Linked DNA regions of Rhinolophus ferrumequinum. The protein of the gene in region 1 purifies or fractionates together with the protein of each later gene. This does not show direct contact. Links are inferred from orthologs where the notes say so. Each region holds a gene or a part of one and is shown in the gene's direction. Other genes may lie near its edges.

The links.
Region 2: the proteins of ESR2 (region 1) and COPB2 purify together in Homo sapiens (affinity purification with mass spectrometry; 3 studies listed by BioGRID and IntAct, with this or other methods). This does not show direct contact. The link is inferred for Rhinolophus ferrumequinum from reciprocal best matches to the Homo sapiens genes ESR2 and COPB2.

Annotation. Positions count from the first base shown.
Region 1 is NC_046289.1:31,538,588-31,546,354, forward strand, and holds the start of ESR2 (estrogen receptor beta), read left to right. Parts: upstream 1-4,747; 5' UTR 4,748-4,790; coding exon 4,791-5,209; intron 5,210-7,078; coding exon 7,079-7,251; intron 7,252-7,767.
Region 2 is NC_046300.1:38,297,383-38,305,365, reverse strand, and holds the start of COPB2 (coatomer subunit beta'), read left to right. Parts: upstream 1-4,963; 5' UTR 4,964-5,097; coding exon 5,098-5,100; intron 5,101-7,983. UniProt on the Homo sapiens protein: The coatomer is a cytosolic protein complex that binds to dilysine motifs and reversibly associates with Golgi non-clathrin-coated vesicles, which further mediate biosynthetic protein transport from the ER, via the Golgi up to the trans Golgi network.

The DNA of each region.
Region 1 (7,767 bases):
AAAAGAAAGGAAATTCTGACACATGCAACAAAACATGGATGAACCGTGAGGATATTATGCTAAGTGAAATAAACAGGTGACAGGGCAACACATACTGTATGATTCCATTTATATGAGGTACCAAGTAGTCAAATCCATAGAGACAAAAAGTTAAATGGTGGTTGCCAGGGGCTGGGGAGAGAGAAAAATGGGGGAGCTGTTGTTTAACAGATGTAGAGTTTTAGTTTTACAAGATGAAAAGAGTTCTGGAGATTGGTTGCATAACAGTGTGAATGTACTTAATACTACCCTACTGTACACTTAGATGGTTAAGATGGTAAATTTTGTTATGTGTATTTTACCACAATTAAAAAATTTGGAAACTGCTAATTTTGACAGTAGCTAGCATTATATGCTTTTTCCTGCATATTTTCTCTTAGGAATCAGGGAGAGTTATGTTGATTAGGCATCTAATTGAAACACGAAATTATATACTCATGATTAGTAAATGCCCATAGATGTAAAAAATATATATATATAAAAATTCCTCGATCCTATATTCTTCTCCAGCTACCAATCTCTCTCCTATCCCTTGTGGTCAATCAATGTTGATTAGAAGTGGTAGGTAGCACTTTTGTATTAGGTCCTTCTTCTTTACCTGGGCCGTTCTGCCTCCTTTACCTGGCACGATGGCTCCTTGAGGCAGGGTCCATGTCCTGGGACTCCTTTAGCTCTCCTGTCTCAGCACAGTAGCACGCCTACTGAAAGTGCTCCCATCTTTGATTAATAGCCTTGACTTGGTGAAATCTTATATTTTAAACTCATTTCCTCATATTCTTTGCTTATAACAAATATTTATTGAGTTGTAGTGGAAGGTGAATATAGTGTGTGCCTCCAAGGAGTTTAAAATCTAACTTGTACTTACTTCTTTCTCTCCCATCCCAACTCTACCATTTCCAAGAAGGATTCAATGTAGTTGTAATCTAATATAAAGGATTAAATTGGTTTGTAAATAACTATAGGGGTGCTAAGAGTGAAAGAAGTACTAAGGCATAAAATGCCAACTACTTCAACAGTGCATTTTGCATATTCTTTAAGGACATCGCTGGTTTCCTGTAGGAAAATAACAAGAGATCAGAGTGGAATGATGGGTTGGGGCAACATAGTGGAATGCCTTGAATGTTAGAACAGTGTGACTTACTAGAGAGGTTGGTGGGAAGCAGAGGGCTGATCAGAGCTGGGTTTTAAGAATGTTAACCTGGCCGGTCGTGGACCTGGAGAAGGAGCTAACTAGGGACAAGGAGTAATAAGGAGCCTGTTACAGATGCGCAGATAAGAAGTAATGAGAACTTTCAGATGGTGGCAGAAGACAGAGTGGGGAAAAGATACTCTGAAGTGGGTAAAAAAATGCGTTGGTGATTCAAGGTAATTGGATGAAGAGGAGAAGTCAAAGGTAACTGTAACGGGCTTTGTCATGAACACAAATAGGAAATGAGTGGTTTAGGGGAGGAAAATGATGAATATTACTTTGGATATTGTATTAATTAACTAGTGCTCTGTAACAAAGTATCATAGAATTTTTATAGCAACTTAAACAACGAACATCTCACAGTTTTTGGAATCAGGAATCCAGGAGCAGCTTAGCTAGGTCGTTCCAGCTTAGGTTTTTTCATAAGGTTGCAATCAAGATAATTGGCCAGAGTTATAGTCATCTGAAGGCTTGATTGGGGCTGGAGAATCTGCTTCCAACGTATCTCACTCCCATAGCTGTTGGCTGGAGGCGGTAGTTCCTTGCTGGCTGTTAGCAGAACGTCTCCATAGGGTTGCTTAAGTGTCCTCACAATATGGCAGTTACTTTTCCTTAGAGTGAGAGATCCAACAGAGTAAGCCAGGAAGAGGCTGCAATGCCTTTTATGACCTAGTCTTGAAAGCCACATACCATTCCTTTTGCCATAATGTATTCATTAGAAATGAGTCATTAATCTAGTCCATGCTCAAGGGGGAGGTTAGGCGACACCTTTTGAAGGGAGAAGTGTTGAAGAATTTGCAGGCTATTTTCAAACCACCATAGATATATTGTGTTTTGAGGACAAATGGAGGAAAAGCATTCAAATGAAAATGTCACGAGGAAGGTAATTCAGAGCCTTAGATAGCTAAGTTGCCTACATATGGAAGTAGGTGATAGCTGGAGTTGAAGATATTAAAGATGGAGAACTTCTCAAGGCAAGTTTCTTTACTTAATGATCTCTCTCAAGGAGTCTCATTATTTATTAGTCATCTATTGTTCCCTTTTCCACATTATATTATTCCAGTTATTCTTTTTTTTAAGGTTTCCATTTTTAATCTTGTATTTTTTTGTTTTTTCTCCAAAGCTTCCTATGAAAAATTTCAAACTTATGGAAACATTGAAAGATTAGCATAATGAATGTCCATATGTCCACCATCCAGATTCAATAATTGTTAACATTTTGACTTATCTCTATCTATCTATCTATCTATCTATCTATCTATCTATCTATCTATCTATCTATCTAGTTATCCATCCAAATATTTTTTTTCTGAACTCTTTTTATTAGGTGGCATTCTTTTGTAAGGGGTTTCCCTCTACAGAGCCTCTTTAAAAGGCAGGGTACAGGCTTAATTTTTCCCCTTAATTACTAATTTTCAGAATGAGGAACTGGTGTATCAATCACTATCGATGGTAATAAATGATTCTATTCTTCTTTTTTTGATTAACACTATGGACTCATAGCCCAGAGGGTAAAAGTATATGTAATTTTGCTATATATTGCTATTTATATTACTATATATATAAATATCCAGGGGGGTTGTGCCATTTTGCATTCCCACCAGCAACATAGGAAAGAGTCCCTGTTTTCCACAGCCTTTTCAAGGGAATCTGTTGTCAAATACTTGAATTTTTTCCAAACATGATAAATGAGAAATGGTATCTTGGTAAAATTTTAATTTGTATCTCTTTTATGAATGGGATTGAGCGTCCTTTTATGTGTTTTGCTTTCTCTTTGTGTGTATGTTCTATTTGTGTCTTTTGCCTGTTTTTCTAGTGTATTTTTTTGTCTTTTTTTTAAAATCTTAATTTAAGGGTTCTCTTTATATACTGGGGACATTATCCCCTTTTTTCTAATCTAAGTTGAGAATATTTTTATTTCCAAGTTTCATTAGTCTTTTGACTTTGCCTATTGTGTGTTTTTATGACATGCCAAGTTTTACTTTTATGTACTGAATTGATGTGCTTTTATGTACATCCTTTTTTATTGCATCTGGATTTTTAGCCATAGTTAAGGTTTTCCCCACACCCATTTTATAAAGGGATTTACTTTGTTTGCTTCCAGCACTCGTGCAGCCCCTACCTGTCCTTTCCCCCTTTTCCCCCTTCCTTCCATTTCTCTTTTAACATTTGGATCTCTGAACCATTTGGAGTTTATTCTGACATGCATTCTTTTTCCACTGGCAATTCGGTTGCCCACTGTTTTCCCAGTGATTTGAGATGCCACCTTTATCATATACCAAATTTCTGAAAACATTTGAGATTTTGGTTTTGCTGTTTTGGGATTTTCCATTCTGTTATGTAGCAGTCTGGGCCCAATCAGAAGATAGAAAGCACATAATAGGTTGAACAGGGGAGGTTTAATATAAAGAATTACTTATAATTAATTACCTATGGTAAGGGACTAAGTATAAGATATAAGGAAACTTTATATGGTACCCTAGAGCTGAGAGAGCAAACCCAAGGAAGGACAAACTTAGAAGGGATCAGACCTCAGGGGGGAAGGTGGTTGGACCATTAACTGGCAGAGATGTTCGCTGATTTAGCCAGGCTGGAGCTGGTCAGGAGTTGCAGGCCGGGAGCGGGTGCTCAGTGACTGGCGGTGTGGGCATACCCCAGGAGGCCAGGTGCCCATGGGGGCAGAAGACCTTCAGAATTGCAGGTCATGTGGAGTGAGGAGGCTTGCAGGGGGAATGACTTCTCAGCATGTGACTCCTCAGGCCACAGTCTGGACAGGTGATTGTGGAAAGTTTATCACCACACAGAGGCCGAAAGTTTGCAGTGGGACCTCCCTGTGGACACGTGGCTGGGCCAGACTCCATTGCATGTTCTCAGACCCACACTGCCACCCTCGTCTTGCTACAGTACTCCTGCAGCGCCCTCTACTGAAAAAGTTTAGCATTGGCTCACTTTAAATACTACAGGAATTCCATTTATTATAGAGCATATATTGAAGGGTGCATTGGAAGCTGAGAGACAATGAATTGATAACTGACACAGTTACATTGACCTGTCTATTCCTTGTTTTTTATTATTGGCAGTTCACAGTGTATTTGAGTATCTATTAATGCTGGTCCTGCTCATTGATCTGCTCTTTCAGAGTTTTCCTGGTTGTTCTTGTTTATTTGTTCATAAGAACTTTAAAATAAACTTGTTCCATATTAAAAGAAGACAACTTATTGACATTTTAATTTAACCCTGTGTTTTTAATTTTAAAAAGCATTTTATAACAAATTCTCATGGTAAAAAATATTCTTGTGGTTAACAACAACAAAAGCAATAAAGAAGTGAATGAAGTAGAAAATGAGAGTTCCGTGCCACATATTCCCATCCCTCTGAGGTTAATATTTTCATGTATATCTTTCAGGATGTATTTCTAAGTTCATACAAATGCGTGTATGTGTTTAATAAAAATGTGTGAACACTTTGAACAGGTATGCCTGTAGCTCCAACTAACTTAGAACTGTCCTTTGTTGTTCTTTCCAGCCATTATACCTGCTCATGAGACTTTGAGAACATTACAATGTCGCTTTGTGGCTCTTCTCGCAAGGAGTTTCCTCAGATATTACCCATTCAAGACATGGATATCAAAAACTCACCATCTAGCCTTAATTCTCCTGCCTCCTACAACTGCGGTCAATCTGTCCTTCCCCTGGAGCACGGCCCCCTATATATACCTTCCTCGTATGTGGAGAGCCACCATGAATATTCAGCCATGGCATTCTATAGCCCTGCAGTGATGAATTACAGTCTTCCCAGCAGTGTTGATAACTCGGACGGTGGACCTAGTCGACAGACCACAAGCCCAAATGTGTTGTGGCCAACTCCTGGACACCTCTCTCCGTTAGCAATCCATTGCCAGTCATCACTTCTGTATGCAGAACCTCAAAAGAGTCCTTGGTGTGAAGCAAGATCATTAGAACACACCTTACCTGTAAACAGGTAAATCCAGTCTTCATTCTGAATTGTATTTCATGAGCATTATTCAAATCACTTTATGATTTAGTGAGAAGAAAGATGTGTATATACAAGGTTTTTATTAGTCATATAGATTACTCAGAGCATCTAAAGCGTGATATTCTGAATTCTAGAATATCTATCCTGATATTTTAGCTGTCATTAAAAAGTTGAGCTTGTAGATTTGTGTGGTGGGGGAGAATTCACTATCATGACTACTGTCTTTAAACAATAAAGATTGAACTTAAATCACATTTCTCTTGATGAAGTGATTTGTCTTTGAAAAATACATTTTTATTTTGCTTTCAGTTTGAATCCTTCTTATCTGGTAGTGAAATCACAAGTTAGTGTTCATGACAGATTGCATCCAGGATATAAGTACCTGTGGCAGTATTACAACTTAAATGAAATACTTGACACGTGAAGCCTGAAAAGACAGACAATTGGTATACTAACTTTTTAACAATGGACTAAAATAATATTTTGTAGAGATTGATGGGAAACTGTTTAAATGTAGACTTTAGTTGAAATTTTTAGAAGTTAAAAAGAATATTTGTTTATACTCTTTAAATGCAAGGTAACACGGTGGTTATTGCCATTTAATTCGTAATATTTTTAATGATAATTATAGCTATGGAGGGAAGGGGTGGTATAGGGAGACGCATGAGGGGGAGGTAAACTTCTAAAACAACCAAAGTCTAAGTTACAGCATGTTGGATATTGAAGTTCATTACTTTCAAATGCTGTCATAAAGCTTTGAGAAAGCCATATTATACAGGGTTTTAATTTTTTCTTCCTTTTAAAGAACTTTGTTGGCAAAATTAAAGACTATATAGAAATTGTACATAGCTTTTTTAAAAGTTTTCATTGTCTTTCATGGAAGAAAAGTTTGGTTTCTGAGCATGAGCTCTAATCAGAGTTCTGCTAATATTTGGGTAATTTAAACCATAGTATAATTCCCTTCATTTATAGATCAGTCACACCTCTACTATTTCCTTTCCAAAAGAAATGAACCCCAGGGAAATCAGGAACCAGACGGGTGTGTTTTGGGGGCCTCCCAGTGCTCCTTTCGTGGGCTCTCCCTTCATCTACGGAAGTCCTTGCCCCTCCACTCGGCAATGAGCACCTGCTTTCTTCAAAGCCTTCTCTCAGGACACGCGTGTGTTCACTCTGTCTCCTTCTGTTCTCTCTTCCCTTTTTTCTGCTCCCTTCCCCTCCCTTCCCTTCCTTTCCCTTCCTCCCCTCTCTAAACCAGAATATAGCATTCACCTCAATGTAACTTAAAGTCCATTTGCTACTCCTCTTAAAGTTCTTTTCATCCTAGACCTTTATCTTAAATTGCAGAATGAATTCTGAATCCCAGGTTACCTGGGAACTCTGAAGGGCTGTTGAGGGCCCTGTGGGGATTGACTGCCTGATGCGTGGGCGTGGTTAGGTGAGTTTAGGCCCCTCCGTGCATGTCGGTGAACTTCGGTAACTTCGGAAGGCCTCCACACACCTACTCGTGGTTCAGAACTGTGGGCAGGACTCAATCTGGTCACTTATCCCATGCAAAGCTGTGCACCACGATGGCTACAAGTGGTCTTCCGTAGTCACTAGTGCTCATCAGTCCTGCATGGAAGGGCATAAACTCACCTAATCACCTGCAGACCTCAGTCATTCCAGCAATGGGACCCTTCACAGATCTCAGTAACAGAGGTTTTGCTTTAGCAGATTTCCTGGAGTGTATTTGTCATAAACCCTGGAGGGCAAAGAGATAAATGGGGCAATGTTCTTGCTGCTTTTCTTTCTCCCTAGAAAGTTCCTCCTTTCCCCTTAATGCTCTTTTCCAATGAATGTTTTCTTTGCCTCCAGAGAGACACTGAAAAGGAAGATTAGTGGGAACAGTTGTGCCAGCCCTGTTACTAGTCCACGTTCAAAGAGGGATGCCCACTTCTGTGCAGTCTGCAGCGACTACGCGTCGGGATATCACTATGGAGTCTGGTCGTGTGAAGGATGTAAGGCCTTTTTTAAAAGAAGCATTCAAGGTATAAGCGTATTGTTAGCTGCTGCTTTAGTTTTCACTTACTTTCAAACAGTTTTGCAGATGACCTGGCAGAAATGTCACTGTTGGCCTGTTTGGTACTCAATGAGCAGTTCAGAAGATCATGTGTGTTTGGGGGTGAGGTAGATGGGAGGGTGGATTGTTTCAAGTGTAGAGCGCTTTATCTTTCATTGTAGATCTCTACCCCAGAACCCCAGACCTCAGATGGTCTCGCCCTACCATTATCCATCACCATCTTCTTGAGAGCAGATATGTAGTTACAACCCTTGTGAAGATAAAGCCTGGAAAAAAATGCACACTCATTAGAAATTGCAAAGATTGTTCCTTCCCTTGACTTATGCTTAATACCCGGCATGGGTAGCAGTCGTTATGGTGGGCTGGCTCCTGAGGAATAGAGAATAAATACATTTTATGGAAATGGTCAGAAATCAGGAATTCAATTCTGATGGACTTTGAGCATTGATCTCGGGGTGTTTCTTACCCTGAACTAGTGGAGCCT
Region 2 (7,983 bases), on another chromosome or scaffold:
TCAAAATAGCCTTCCTTCAAAGGACAAGCTCCTTTGCTACGTTTTATATTTGGGTAAAATAATTTGTTTTCTGGATTACACAGTATAAGTTTATAATAGAAAAGTTAGACAATACAAATAAACAAAAGCACCTGTAACCTCCTTCCACTTCCTTCGGATATTGACTTTCCCTACATGTGTAGGTACGTGTGTGTGTGTGTCTGATCCAATTAACAATTACTTTATACAGAAACATCTTCAAGATAGAGTTACATCTGTATTCACTGTCAATGTCGGATGCACCAAGGTATGGCCATATTTTGCAAAAGAAACAATTTATTCTTCTTAGAGACAATACCTTTATTGGATTCTAGTGAATGAATCCAGCACTATCAATGTGAAGTTGCTTTGACACCAAATGAAAAACCTTGTAGGAATGTAGCTCAATATGATTTCGATTATCATTTTCAGTTACAAAAACATATCAGAAGTTCAGAGCCCAAGGACTTCATTTTTAAACCTTGGGGCTTGAACCACATTTGAATTCAAATTCAGTAATGCCCTTAGATCAACTTGAGCTGACAAATTCTTTAGAAGAAAGTAAAATAGGGCAATTTGGTGGAAATTATACTGTGCAGTGCCTTGTCACTCCAGATATTTCACTTTTACATTAAATTTTTTTCAATTAATTTAAAAGTAACTGCTATATGCCAGATATCCAGGCTATTTGTCATTATTATTCATTTATTTATAGGCAGCACTGTCATTTACAAGGACATAATTCTTGAGGAAACATAATTGCTCTAAACCTATCAACTTGCTTACGTAAAGTTGTATGTAAAACTTTGCAAAATCTTTTCTCTGGAAAGAAAGTTAAGCGTTGGCTGCCAGAGAATTTTCACCGGGGACCTCATATACTGTGCACACTTGGTCCTCTACTCCTGGTCCCCTCACACCCACCAGGTTCTTTGCCCTGAGGGCCAGGGCCTCAGGTTTGTACAGTATGTTTCCAAGCACAACGAAGCCTCAACAAAAATTGGCTGATGTAAGGTTGCTTCCAGAGTAAAACAGCAGTGCACGCTGTGAAATATGCAGGAAGAACTGTGTATTCACATGAATGGAGTAAAAAAAAATGTCTATGAATACATCCTGTATTCATAGGAAACATAATTACCAAGAACATAGAATCACAGACTCCAAAGTCTAAAGAAGCTTGGAATAGGAAGGGACTTTAGAGTTTATTTTGTCCAACATTATTTTGTAGGGTAATGAAACTGAGACCCAGACAGTTCACTGCACAAGACAACCCCGGGGCAGAGAAATCTCCAGAGACTGCTTGTTATGATTTGCCATGGGTGATCTTAGCACCCCACGTGTGAAGAGCCAGGTAGAATGTCTGGGTGCATGGAACACTATTGAGGTCCCTAAATCACATGTTTCATAATTCCTATCTGTGATACCACCTCCTTCATTTCATTCAAAGCTCACTTTAAACTCTGACTCCTCTAAAAATGTTTAAAACAACACGAAGTTCATGCAATTTTCCAAAAGGTAAAATTACACCCACGCCAAAAACAGGACTAAAAATCTGGATTTTTATGCTTTCTGGTAAACAAAAGCAAACATACCTTCCATCCCGAATCCACATCAAACTCACATGGAGTAAATTTGTGTGAACCAATTTTAAATTCTCAGGTGGTAATCATATGAAGTGCATAGCACATTGTAGTCGCTCAATGCTTTTGCAATCAGTCAAAGCTTTTGCCTCTACGTGTCGGGTAACCGCAAGCTTCATTATTCTTGGAAGACAGCTCAATGGTTCTCCAACTCTATTCAGTCTGTTGATGGTTGGTATGTGATTATGTGGTCAAAATCCTCACTTTCATTCACTGCAAGCAGAAATCTAGCTGATAACCGTAATATTTCCTTTAATGGGGAATATAACTGACATGCAATGATGAATCAGTAATGGAGCATAAAGATTACCCTAGTTAACATTCTTTAGTGGTTCCCTTCAGGATAAAGTCCAGACACCTTAAACCGGCAATCATAGACATTCAGGAGCTGAGCTTCATCTATCTTTCCAGTTCTGTTTCTCAACCTCCCCCACCTGTTCTCTGGCCCAGGCATGCTAAACTACTTTCAGTTCTCTGGAAAAACCAAACTCTCACTTCCCTTCTCTCGGACTACCCTGTGTATACCCTCTTGATGTTCGTCCGGTTAGTTCCTACTCACACTGTAAAGGTCCATTTAGTCATGTACGTCCATTTGGAGGGTTACTGTCATGAAGTAGGTAATGTTAACTGCACCCTAAACATGGGAACAATCGATCCACTTTCAGTGAGACATCAACATTTGCCTTTTCATAACTAATCTTCTGGTAAAATAGCGACCACCTCCACTTTATCATTCAATCATTTCTTAATCCCTTGCAAACCTGCTGCCCCTGGCATTACTCAACTGAAAATGTTTTGAAGACTACTGTCTTCGTAATCATTTAATTCATTGGCAACGGTTTCTTTTTATTTTCAAATACCGAGCCTCCTTAACTTCTCCAAAGTCATCTAGACTTCTAGTCCCCCGACTCTGTCCTTCCTTTTCTTTCTGCGGCATACAGTTTTCCTAGATGTCGTACTCTAATTGTTCCCCCTCTGTGTCATTTACTGGCTCCACTTCTTCTTCTAATTAAAGACATTCCCTCTGGGTTCATTCGATTCAAGGCATTAGCATTAGGATGCCTCCCAATCCTTTAACTCACAAAAACTCCAATCATCTGTGTATCCTGTTGATTCTAGCTTCTAAGTGAAAGAGGAAGAACTCACAGTCCGGTAAAAAGAGCATTAGTTTTCAAGATAGACTTGGGTTCAGATCTGAGGTCCATCACTCCTTCTTGAGCAGTGTGGCATGGAGCATATTAGTTAATCCATTTGGTTCTCAGTTTCTCATCTATAAGTTGGAGAAAATGCCTATATTTTGGTACTACAATCTAAACTGCAGCGTACAAAGTGCTTCTGCGTGCCAATGCTGGGTACATAGTGGGCACTCAATAAAGTTATTCATTATTACTGTTATTTCCACACCCACTTCCCCAAAACCTGTGAAGTATCTCACTGTCCCAATCCATTTCTTCATACACATCTATAAAAGGCATATCTTATGGGATCGGATATGAACCAGCTTCTTTTCTGGCCCAGTGTTTCCCAATTGCGTACTGAATCAAAGCCCAGTTCCTCCCTATTTAAAAATCTTTTCAGTTTTAGCCACATCCTTCCTCTCCATCCTTCTCCCTCACCACCCTTCTCAATGAATATAGCCAAATTCAGTATGTAATGATTTAAAGAATGAATTTAGAGTACAGAATGTTACTCAGTACAGAACTGCAGAACTGAATGTTACTTAACTGTAGTGGAAAAAATGACAAAAGATATAGTCAAGGTGAGTGTGACACTTGATTGCTCAGCCCCTCATCAATACCAGCTAGGTAAATCCTTGGGTACCTAGTGGAATACAAGAATTTGAGTATTCTCAACTAGTTCCTTGAGAAGACAGATGATCTATCACTTTATTTTGTATTATTTGGCACTGTGCAAAGTCTGAAGATACTTATTCAAGTGTAAGAGTATCCATGAATCAGAAATACTGGAAGCTCCAGTTCAAGCAAATTAGGTATAGTTCATATTTGTAAAATTTTCGACTCTTGTGATCCTCAAAAGCATAAGCAAAGTATTCAATTAGTCTCAATTTACATATCATAACATCACACTGCAGGCACTAAAATCCAGTTCCAGACCCACTCTTCTTTCTACTATTGAATATGACGGAAACACAAAATGGTACTAAAGGGAAGGGTCTTTAGAAATTATTCAACCTAATTTTTTTTTTTTAATGAGGAAAACTGAAGCCCACGAAGAGATCATATTAGCAGCAAAGATCCTAAAAGCCAAATTACTGATTCAGAGTCCATGTCTTCCTCTGACTGTCACTTTCAATACAGATATTTTTATTTTTATTCATTTATTTTTGCATTTCTGAAAATCTAGAGGTCTAAGAAAACCTCCAAGGCTTCCCTCAGGCCAGAGGTACTCATTTATATGTAGTCAGAGGACACGTTTTATTTGGCCCCTGGTATTTAAAAAAAGAAGAAAAGCAGAAATGGAAGGTGAAGGGTGGTTGGCAGTGGTGCAGATCTTTATTCTAGAGTCCAACTACCTTAATGAAGAGATACTTGGATGCAGTAGAAAGAGCACAGGGCTTTGAGGACATAGGGGTCTGGGATCAAATACTGACTCTACTGCTTAAGATGCAGCCTTGGCCAGGGAACTTCTTTGAGCCTTAGTTTCCTCATCAGTAAAATAGGGATCCTTTAGATTTCATGTGGCACACAGCTGAGGATAGACACACATTGGTGAATGAATAACACAGTCGATGCCCAATAAAAAGGGATCGTGTGCAGCTGGTAGTCCCATCTCCGGGGAGCTCCAGAACTGAAGGCTCTTCACCTCCCTCTGACCTCAGAGGCCTGAAGCTCAGCCCGGAGTCCCGCTCAAATCTTTCCAGCCTCAATCAGCGCCAGCCAAGTCCAGGGCCCGCAGAGAAGTCTCTGGGCCTCTATCTCTAGCCCATCAGAATACTGTGGGCTTAGAGCCTTGCCTCGCCTTCATCTCTCTCCCCATCCCTCCCCTCAGTCAGAGCCCGACAGCGCTTCTCAGCCTCTGGGATACAACTTCACTATAAGGGGAGCTTCCCCTGCCATTAGCGTCCAGCAGGGATTAAACATTTCGTCTTTCCCATTTTTTTTTTTTTTTACGTATCTCTCGGCTTTCAAGTTCCCGTCCGGGCTCAGCAGCACCCGGCCACTGCCCTTGATGGCCGAGGCCACACCTCCCTGCTCACGCGGCAACAGGATGGCTCCGTTGCCTAGGTAACTGGGGAGGGGCTTGGGACACTTAAGGCCTACGCCTGGTTTGCGCAGGCGCTCGCGCTGGTCCCCTACATCGCGAGAACTGTCTTACGGAAGTTCCACGTCAGTCAGTCGGCGGGTCAGCGGGTCGGTGGGTCTTTTCAGGGGTTGTGTTGCCGGTTTCAAGTGAGGGCGGACGGCCTGGGACCGACGGAGACATGGTAGGTCCAGACCCTGCAGGAGGGAGCAAGGCCCCTTCGGCTGAGGCCAGTTCCTGGGGCTCCTGGACTTGGGGCCGCGGTAAGAAGCCGTCTGGGCTCCCGCTGCGGCCCCCGCCTCAGGCCTTGCGGGGTCCTGGGCCAGTTTGAGATCTGTGATGGAGGAGGCGGTGGGACCCCGGAGACCCGGATGGTTTGGGGAGGCCGTGCCTGGAATTGAGAGGTCACTAACTTCTCCGGTGCTCAGGGCGTTTGACAGAGCTCCTGGTGCGCAGCGGGGTCCGTGGTGTAGGGAAATACATACAAGAGGCCGAAAACGAACTTCGTGGAAGGCTTTGGCAAAACTACCTCATTCTGCCCTTGACACGGTGACAGCTGGTCTTGCATTCATGTTGAACTTATTTTATTACTGGTATAGTGTGTGCTGACCACAAGTTATGGACTTAAGCAGAGAAGCAAGCAAGAAAGTAAAGTGTATATGGAGTCAAAAGTGGAATTTCAACTGCTTTGGGATTCTGGCTTAGGTTACTGGAGGGAAAGAAGGGTTAGAGGGTTGTTTATAGAACTGGCCTGCTTTTTTGCATTTGCAAATATAGTGGCTGGTGGAAATGTCAGTCGTAAGGGCACTTTTGTAATTATCACCCTCATCCCCAAAATGCGCTGAAATACTTTTGCACAAGAGTGTTACAATAATAAGGAAACAAAATACAGTAGTGTGAAAATACCTTTTCTGAAAAAAATGGAAGAAAGTCAATGTTTTATATTTAAACATTTTCCTGCCCTTTTTTTTTCCACTTGTGAAGAAGCACAGGTTCAAAGATTTTTGGAGCTTAAAGGTCTTAGGAATTAAGTCCAAGTTGTTCATCTTGCAGTTAAAAAAAACTTAAAACTAAGTTTGTACAGGCTAATTGAGGCAGAGTTAGAACTACAACAGAGAGTGATTCCTTGGGGAAACTGGTGAAAGTTTTGGATACTCTCAGAAAAATGCATAGAGAAACACAGCATTACGTAAATTACAAAGACACCCCCCACCGCCATCCATGAACTTTCTTGAGTCCCCAGGTTAAGGGCTCCTGAGCAAGACTTCAAGTGTCTTACTTATACCACCTCATATTACTACCTGCTTTGGTCTGGGGTCTGCTGTGCTTTCAGTAATGGACATTTTTGGAAAAGGCCTTTGGATCTGCCTAATTTAGTTTTCTTTTGCAATTTTTACATTTAAGAACGTATTTTTATAATAAAATATTTCCTTCATTCGTTAACACATTTAAAATTTTTTGTATAAGATTCAAAATGCTAATTTCTTTATTCACTTATTTATCATAGGGTATTTACTGTGTGCTCTAATTCTCACAACTGGGAGAGTGACTTAATATTTGTGCAGTGGTTACAATAGATCAGGCACTGTTCTAACTGCTTAACACTGAATTTATTTCTCATAATACTAAGAGGTACTTAATAGTGTTATGACGCTTTTACTTATGTCAAACCTGAGAGACGTGAAGTAAACCTATCTGTCTACTGTTGCACATTTGAAATGAGGGTGGAACTGAAATTTGAATCCAGCATGATTCTCTAGATCTGGATTATACTGTCTGTCCGTAAACCCCCATAACCCAAATACAAGCATACCTTGTTTCATTATGCTTTGTTTTATTGCACTTTGCAGATATTTTTTGTTTGTTTGTTTGTTTGTACATATTAAAGATAAGACCCTCTACCAGCAAAAAGATTACAACTTGCTAAAGGCTCAGGTGATGGTTGGCATTTTTTAGCAATAAAGTATTTTGTAACTAAGGTGTGTACGTTGTTTTTTAGATATAATGCTATTGCACACTTACTAGACTACAGTATAGTATAAGCATAACTTTTACATGCATTTGGAAACCAAAAAAATTCATGTGACTTGCTTTATTGCAATGGTCTGGAACCAGATGACAATAATACCCAGAGTACCCCTGTTTACATACGGTGCTGTGGAGATAAAATGAATAAGCAACGATCCTGCCCTTGGGAAGCATCTACTTTAGAAAGCAAAAAGAGAACTATGCACAAATGTTAAAGGTTCAAATTAAATCTTCATTTTAACAGCATCCCGTATACGTCTGGCTAGAGTAATCAGAAAGATCATATTGGTGGCAGTAGCTTTTAAGCTGCGCCCTCAAAGTCCAGCTTTTGGAAGATGGAGGGGAGATGTTTAGAACGGAGGGTACAGAATGAGTACCTTAATCACCTTTGTACTTCACAGTGCCTAGGACAAGGTCTCATTCAAAGTAGTCACTTAAATGTTGTGAGGAATACGGCAAGAGCTCCTCGCTGTGCTTCTGAAACTGGGATTTGTGCTTTGGGTGCAGGTAGAAGTATACTGGGACTGCTCAGTCCCCTGATCCACCTTCTCAGTAATCAGTCAGTTAAGACATTTTTATGGTAAAATGTACAGTTGATTTAAGTGTCCAATTTACCAGAGGATTTAAAGTATGAGGTGGGATGGCTTATGTGAAAGCCCCACCATGGTTCCTGGCACATAGTAGACACATGTCATGTTTGTTGATTCTGAAGAGACCAGAAAAAGGAGGTAAAATTTTTTATGATAATTAATGGGGCAAAATTCAGAAATGGGTGAAGTAAAAGGTCCTGCTTCCCTGAATGAGCAAAGAACGTGAAGATGATAGTTTGAAAGTAGAAAGTTTGAGATCAGGAGAAATGACTGGAAACATTTTTGTGGTGATTGTAGAGAAGAGCCAGAGAACTCTGGTCTTTTAAAGTAGATTGAGAGGTATAGGTTGTCGCTAAAAGTGAGGGAGGCATGTATAGAAGAACAAGGTTCGAAGTAATCGGTGACCCGCAGTTGATACAGATGCAAAACAATGAATAAAAGCCCTGTGA